Linked DNA regions of Rattus norvegicus. The protein of the gene in region 1 interacts with the protein of each later gene in a biochemical or structural test. Links are inferred from orthologs where the notes say so. Each region holds a gene or a part of one and is shown in the gene's direction. Other genes may lie near its edges.

What was found.
Region 2: the proteins of Blnk (region 1) and Cd79a form a complex in vitro, tested with the Homo sapiens proteins (2 studies listed by BioGRID). The link is inferred for Rattus norvegicus from reciprocal best matches to the Homo sapiens genes BLNK and CD79A.

The regions. Positions count from the first base shown.
Region 1 is NC_086019.1:249,707,839-249,711,652, reverse strand, and holds part of Blnk (B-cell linker protein), read left to right. Parts: intron 1-897; coding exon 898-981; intron 982-2,595; coding exon 2,596-2,751; intron 2,752-3,814. UniProt on the Homo sapiens protein: Functions as a central linker protein, downstream of the B-cell receptor (BCR), bridging the SYK kinase to a multitude of signaling pathways and regulating biological outcomes of B-cell function and development.
Region 2 is NC_086019.1:89,620,381-89,624,294, forward strand, and holds the start of Cd79a (B-cell antigen receptor complex-associated protein alpha chain precursor), read left to right. Parts: upstream 1-1,079; 5' UTR 1,080-1,104; coding exon 1,105-1,174; intron 1,175-1,544; exon of another isoform or gene 1,545-1,672; intron 1,673-2,762; coding exon 2,763-3,056; intron 3,057-3,269; coding exon 3,270-3,388; intron 3,389-3,914. UniProt on the Homo sapiens protein: Required in cooperation with CD79B for initiation of the signal transduction cascade activated by binding of antigen to the B-cell antigen receptor complex (BCR) which leads to internalization of the complex, trafficking to late endosomes and antigen presentation.

The DNA.
Region 1 (3,814 bases):
AACAGAACAGCATAAAGACACAGAGAAGGGACTCTGTGTGCCCTTGAAGGTGACAAGTGAACAAGTATCCTTATTTGTCAAACTCCAGTAAGACAATATCACTGCACAAACATGAAGATTTGAGTCCCTTTTCCAACACCCCCCCCAAAAAAACCCCAGAATAGACAAAAATGCAATGAAGAGGGAGTGTGATGCTGTCTGTGTGTTTATAATCCCAGCACGGGAGAGACAGAAAAGGAGATCCCCGGGATGGGTGGCCATCATCCAAGCTTAGTCCTCGAGGCCCCGTCTCAGTGAGTGATGCTAATTCAAAAAGCAAGGTGGACAGGTCCTGAGAAGGAACATCTAATGTTGATATCTGACACACTTGCATACGCGCTTGTGTGCACAGGCACTCCCGTGCACATATAAACACACGCACACCGAAATTAGGAAGCACTCTATGAAGCCTCAAGAATAAAACACGGGTTGGGAAGATGGCTCAGCAGTTAAGGGCACAGGCTGCTCTTCCAGAGGACTCAGGTTCAATTCCCAGCAACCACGTGACAGCTCACAACTGTCTGATACTCCAGGATCTCACAAGGATGCAGAGACATACATGCAGGCAAAACACCAATACATATAAAATAAAAATAAATAATTTTTATAAAGACTATTCGCACAATGAGAAAAGAGTATATAATTCATTCAGGAGGAAAGTGGTTCAGGAATCTAGTGAGGTTCATTTATGTTTTAGCACTAAATTTAGCAGCGAATGCCAAATGGGAACGAGCTAGCCATATAATCTCTGTGGTTGGCCAAAGCCCAAAACTCATTTTAACATTACTGGTAAAGATGTCGATTATTGTTCTGGTCTTTTTACCAGCTCATGTTTCCTAACGCTTTTCTGTCTCACAGGAGGCTGAACTGCACGGTAAGCCCTGGTACGCTGGCGCCTGCGACCGCAAGTCTGCTGAAGAGGCCTTGCACCGATCCAACAAGGTTTGGGCACCTAAAAATCCCACATCCGCGCCCGCGGTTCAGCATAAATGCAACTAGTTGTTGCGTGGGTTAGGTGCAGGGGCTATTTCCCTGTACTCCCCTCCTCCCCGCTCGTGGGAGCACCCGTTGTTCTTTCTTCTCCTTCCTGTTTGTTTTTAATATCAAGGCTCCAGGGGGTCCACTACCCTCAAACAATGGAAAGTAGCGGGAGGCCGGGAGGTCTGGGGAAAGACCTGATGCTGCCAGAGCCCAGCTTTGGAGGAGGGAGGACAGGCTATTTGGAACCAATGAATGGGGCTTAGGATATGGACAAAGAAACTACCTGGAAATATTGTTTTGAGAGCTCAATATTGGGGACAGATGGGACAGTGGAAGATTAAAGTTTCCTTTTCACTTCCTCTGTTCTCCCATTTTTTAAAAAAAAACCTCAAATCCCTGTCAAAATGTCAGCTGGTGAGGGTTCTTTGCTCTGTTTAGACAGAAATCATCCGCAGAGCAGAAGACTATCTCCAACGAGTTAAAGTTTTCCTCAGTTTTTGCTTCCTTCTAGTCCAGCCCACTCTAGTTAGGGGGAAAAATGGCCGCCTTTTATGGGGCCCAGCGCCGCACACGGTACACTAGGGAACGTGGCCCTGGAGAGAGACTGCGGAGCGGAGCGGGTATGGTTTGGAGCAGCAACAACTTGTTTGTATGGGCCAATCACATCCTTGCTTTCTTTTGAACCAACCACTGTGGATCTCCTTAGCTAGTCCACCGGGAGAAGGGATAGTGCTTTGGCCGAGGTGGAAGTGGCTCCAGGGCTGCCTGGAGGTTGGGAGGTTAACCCTTGTTGCTCTTTCTGCGAGCCCTGGTTGACTCTGCAGCCTTTGGAGCCAGGACAGTCAGCCGCAAGGTTTTCAGTGTTGTCCCCAGGCCTCTGTCACTCTTGGGTGGTCATCACAGTCTGGCCCACTCTGCTGTAGTCCATTTTAAATGCTGTGGCTGTCTCCGTGGCTTACTTCGGGTCACACATTAAATCTATTAGACCTTACTTAGTCCCCGCGAAACCTGGCGAATTTTGTACCTTTGTTTCTGAGATAGATCTTTTTGTCTTTTTCTTCAAATTCCTCCCTATGGGTGAACACCAGTTGTTGCATTTCTTCTTCTTATCTTAGGTCATGTTTTGTCTATAATTTTTAAAATGTATGATTCTAAGCTATTTTAATAAAATATTTAATACACATTGAACTTTTTAATAGTTTTTCAACTTCAAAATAAGTCTACCAAGGTGAGTATTTTCTTCAGCTAAAAGCTTGAGTTCCCAGTTTAGATTTTTGCTTAAGGAACTTGGAAGCATAGGCTCTCATTTGAGAGACTCTCGGTTTGATCTTACCTTTTCCATGTTTCTGAATCCCAGGGAGCCCAATACCTCAGTCAGCACGTTAAACACTAGTGCCGACTTTGAGTATCCATTTTAATAAGCAGTATTTTTGGAAAATAATAAATTCCAAGCAATAACAAAAACACGGAGCTAAGTAAGTAATATTTTAAAGTGATAAAATACTCTTCACAAACTGATTTCTAGCTGAAGGAAATTAACTAATACGATCACTGTGCTTTACTCTCACTGAACAGGATGGATCATTTCTTATTCGGAAAAGCTCCGGCCACGATTCTAAGCAGCCGTACACACTAGTTGCGTTCTTTAACAAGCGTGTATATAATATCCCTGTGCGGTTCATCGAAGCAACCAAACAATATGCTTTGGGAAAGAAGAAAAATGGCGAAGAGGTCAGTAGCTGTTATTTCTCCATTTGTTTATTTCCTATCTTGAGATAAGAAAATAGTCACAGTCATAACAGGTAGCCTAGGTGGGCCCAAAACTCCTTAGCCCAGGCTGGCTTTGAACTCATAATCCTCCTGAGTTTAGGATTGTAGGAGAGGATCACTGTGGTTGGCTGGTAACTTCTCTTTAACCCAGCTCTATGTCTACCCATTGAATACAGTGGTAGGATGCTCTATTAGACGCCAGAGATCAAGGAAAGAGTGTGAAAGTACTTAGCCTCAGGGCTGTATATATGTTTATATGTTATAAGTAGAACATAAGAGGAAAGGCCATGGTTTGAAATACTGTTTAATGTAGTATACGATGTACATGGTGTAATAGTATATCTGATGGGAAGTCAGAAGAAAGTGTGATGCATACGCTAGTATTTTAGTTTAACTTTTAAATTGCATATGTCTGTGTGTATGACGTGCATGTTGGGGAGGTATGTGGATGCCCAACACTAACATTAAGGAGTCTTTCTGGATTGTTGTCTACCCGATTGCTTGAAGCAGGGTCTTTTGATTGCATATGGCTAGTCTAGCTAGCCACTTGTTCCAGGTATCCCCTGGATCTGTCTTCTGAATACTAGAAGTACATGCAGGCCACTGTGTCCACCTGGCATTCTTATGGGCGCTGGGGATCTGAACTCCCATATTTTTGTTTGCATAGCAAGTGCTTTGTCCACTGAGACATCTCCTCATCTCCTAGTTCTACCCAGTAAGGGAAATCTGATAGGATTATTAGTCCAAGAAAACCCATAAATGAAAGTTGAATTGCCAAAGCCAATTAAGGTTGTAAGAGTCAAGGTCATGAACTATCGTTCCAAAATCAAGGCCTGGGAACTCCACTCTGGTACTGAGTTAGGTGACCAGGGAAGTACTTGAGAATCCAGTACTTGATCTGAAACAGTAGGCTATAATTCTCAGACCAGAATGAGCTTATGTAATGAAATACATAGGCCTTAAATAACTAACAGAAAGGTCATTAGTTAGGAGCAAAATGATAGCTCACTATGTTTCTGGTTAG
Region 2 (3,914 bases), about 160 Mb from region 1:
TCCTTCCCTTGCTCCACAATCTGCTAGTTTCTTATGTAGCTCAGGCTAGCCTCTTGACTCATTATTCTGAGCCTCCCAAAATCTGGGATTAGAGGCATGAGTCATCACCACACCGTCAGCACATGGACTGTGTAGCACTGGGCAAGTGACCACTCCCCCTTACCGAGTCTCCATTTCCTCCTCCATCACGTGGAGGATGGCCTCTGCCCTATTGAGAGGACATAAAAGAACTTAAAGGCTAGGGTGTCATTCAGCGGCAGAGCTCACCTAGAATTCATGAGTCCCCCGGGGGTCATCACTTACACTGAAAGAAAAATTTTGCGAGGCATGGTAGAGCACATCTGTAACCACAATACTCAGAAGAAGGCAGAGACAAGAGGACCAGGATTTCAAGAGCATCTTCAGAGGCAGGGGATTGACTTCGGTAGTTAGGAGTACTGGCTGTTCTTGCAGAGAACCAGGGTTTATTCCCAGCTCCCAGTGGGGCAACTTATAACTTCATTTCCAAGGTATCTGTCGCCCTCTTCTGGCCTCCACAAGCACCAGGCACACACATACACATACGGTACACATACATACATGTATGCATACACGTATGTGAACACTCAGACATTAAATAAACCATCAATTAAAAACAATAGAAGGTGGTGATAAACAAAGGGTCACTTTGACCTGCATGGTGAATTCAAGGCCAACCCTGGGCTATGTGAAACCCGTTCAAAAAAACGAACAGCGAGAGAAAAGGGGTGGGGTTAGAAAGAAAAGGGCGGATAAGGGCGCTATGTTTTACCCAATGTTAGTGAGAAAAGAAGCCGAAGTCCAGAGCAGCTGTGGATTTAGCAGGCACCCGTGACCATGAACCAGGCCTTGAACCAGCCTCTCCCCGACCCCACGCACTAGAGACTCAAGGGAATTGTGGCCAGCCAGGTGCAGGGCAGTTCCTCTCCACTCAGGGCCTACACCAGATGGCAAATAAAGGGCCAGGAGTAAGGGCCACTGGAGCCCATCTCCGGCAGGGCTGAACAGGAAGTGAGGCGGAGTTTGGAGTGGAATCTGGTACCTCAAGGCTACCGCCACCCAGACTAACCGGCTCCCTGGGAGACGATGCTAGGGGGTCTAGGAGTCCTCCGAACCCTGCCTCTCCTCCTCCTCTTCCTGTCCGAAGCCTGCCTGGGTAATGTGACCAAAGGGAAGGTGCCGTGGGGGATGCGGCTGACAGAAAGGTGCAGAGTGGAGTCAGAAATGGCCAGACAGGGGGGTGCATAGCAGCGCAACTCTTTTTTTTTTTTTTTTTTTTTTTTTTTTGGAGCAGAGGACCTAACCCAGAGCCTCAGGCTTGCTAGGCAAGCGCTCTACCACTGAGCTAAATCCCCAACCCCTACCAGCAGCGCAACTCTTAAAGCAATGCCTGAACTCTAGGAAACTGAGGAGGCAGAAATACTGTGCTTGAGTCCAGCCTGGGCTACATAATGAGTTCTATCTAGGCTAACCTGGGCAATTTACTGGTTGCCTGTCCCAAAATGACAAGGAGAAGGGGGGGGGGGGGGAATCAGGGACAGCTTTCTGTACTGAGCCACAGGCTGGAGGAGACTTGAGTAAGTCTGTTAGGACCAAGACTACCATGCTCCACAACACACGACCTTAGCTCCACAAGTGAGAATGAGGAACTGAGGTGAGTGTTGACTGAACATGAGGATATGGAGGTAGCAAAGGGTGTCAGTGAGGGGAAACAGTTTTTGTTTGTTTGTTTGTTTTTCCTCTGCCTTACGTCTGGAGGACATGCTTCCTCAGGTGCTCCATTCCTCTCCGCCACCCCTGTGAACACACTGACCCAGGTTTTCAGAGGGGAAGGTCTGGGACCAGGGATTGGAGTCCTGCTGTCTTGAGTCTTAAGCCTGAGACCAGGAACTTGCTGGGGCCTCTTTTCCCTCCCTTTCTTTCTTCCTCACTTCCGACCTTCCTCTTTCCTGTTATGTCCAGAAACAGGGCTATAAGCCAGTGTGCTGCTGAGGTGGCTGAGAACAGGGGTGGGGTGGGAGTGACTCAAGGTGAACACAGAGAGCCCACACCATGGCCACCAGTCCACCCTTGTCTCTCTAAGCCTCCTCGGATGCCCCAGGCAGAACTCCGTCCCAGGGCCTAGGTCGACACTGGTTTCTTTGTCTTGTTTGTTTTGTTTTTGGAGACAGGGTTTCTCTATGCCACCCTGGCTGTCCTAGAACTCACTGTTAGACCAGGCAGGCCTCAAACCCACAGCAATCTGCCTGACTCACTCTCTGCAGTGCTGGGATTAGGGGCATGTACCACTACTGCCTGGCAGGTTGCCTCACTTAAATTACAGAGATGAGAAATGACCCAGGCACAAAACCAAACTAAACAACCAAGCCAAGGACAGATTCGGGGAGGTAGGACAGAATTGGGCTCTAGTACCTTTTCCAATAGGCTGGGTACTGCTGAGCCTGGGTCTAAGGTGTGCCCCATCTCCACCCCCTTCCCCATGGAGGTTCCTAAGGGTTATGAAGAATGAGGACCAACGGGATGGTCTTCAGAGAGAGTCCCTGGGCTGGTTGGGGGAACAACAAAATGCAAAGGGGAAATGGAAGAAAGAGGCCATAGGGCGTGTCCCCCGGTGTCTGTTCTTATTCTAGATACCATTGCCACCAGTGAGACTCCACTCCTGAGAGAGCTGGCATGAAGGGGGCTGGAGCAATCTTCTCCATCTCCAGGCTCTGACCCATCTGTCTCCTCTCATCTCTCCACAGGTCCTGGATGCCAGGCCCTGATGTTAGAAAGGGATCCACCATCCCTGACGGTGAACTTGGGTGAGGAGGCCGTCCTCACCTGTAAGAACGACGGCAAGAACCCTAATATCACATGGTGGTTCAGTCTCCAGTCCAACAGCACATGGCCCCCAATGCCACTGGGTCCTGGCCTGGGTCCCATGGGCAAGCTGATCTTCCCCGAAGTTAACAAGAGCCACAGGGGCTTGTACTGGTGCCAAGTGATAGAGAGCAAAGAAGTAAAGCGTTCCTGTGGCACTTACCTCCGAGTGCGCAGTGAGTAGGGAGGGGCACTGACCCTGGAGTTCTGTTCTCCGGCTCATCCAGAACACTGGAAGCAGAGAGCCAGCTCCTCCCTCCTGGACCTGCAACCTGTAACCCTGGCAGGTCACCTGCCAGATGGTGGCTTCAGGGTTCCCTGACCTCGCAAGGAGCAGGGCTGGGAGAGGAAGGGATACCAGAACACTAAGCAGCACCCTGTCTTCACAGAGCAAGTCCCGAGGCCCTTCCTGGACATGGGGGAAGGCACCAAGAACCGCATCATCACGGCAGAAGGGATCATCTTGCTGTTCTGTGCAGTGGTGCCAGGGACGCTGCTGCTCTTCAGGGTGAGTCTCTCCACGGCGACACCCTCAAATTATCTTGGCTTGCCTGGACTGTGACTCCCAGTGTCCAGCTGGTCCTCTGAATCCTGAGGTTCCTCCTTCAAAGTTTGGGAGGCTGGGAGTAACCCCCAAAAGGATTTCCAGTGGCACTGAGCTCTAGTGGGGTCAGCCTGTCCCCACGGCCCTCACAGATACCCTCTCACTCTCCTGCTGACCCACCAAAGGGAGTCCCCTGCAAATGCAGCCAAGACCAGGGAAGGAGGTGTGTCCTCCCAGAGCCCCTGCTTCTCCTTAGGCTACAAGACGTTGTTTTTTTTTTTTTTTTTTTAAATGGGGTTTCACTATGAATCCCTGGCTGGCCTCGAACTCACAGGGATCCACCTGCCTCTGCCTCCTGAGTGCTGGAATGAAAGGTGTGCACCACCATTGTCCTGCACCTTATTTATGGTTTGTTGTTGTGTACGTGGGCACTCGAGTGTGGAATCGGAGAACAACTTTCAGGGGTTGATTCTTTCCTTCCACTGTGGGA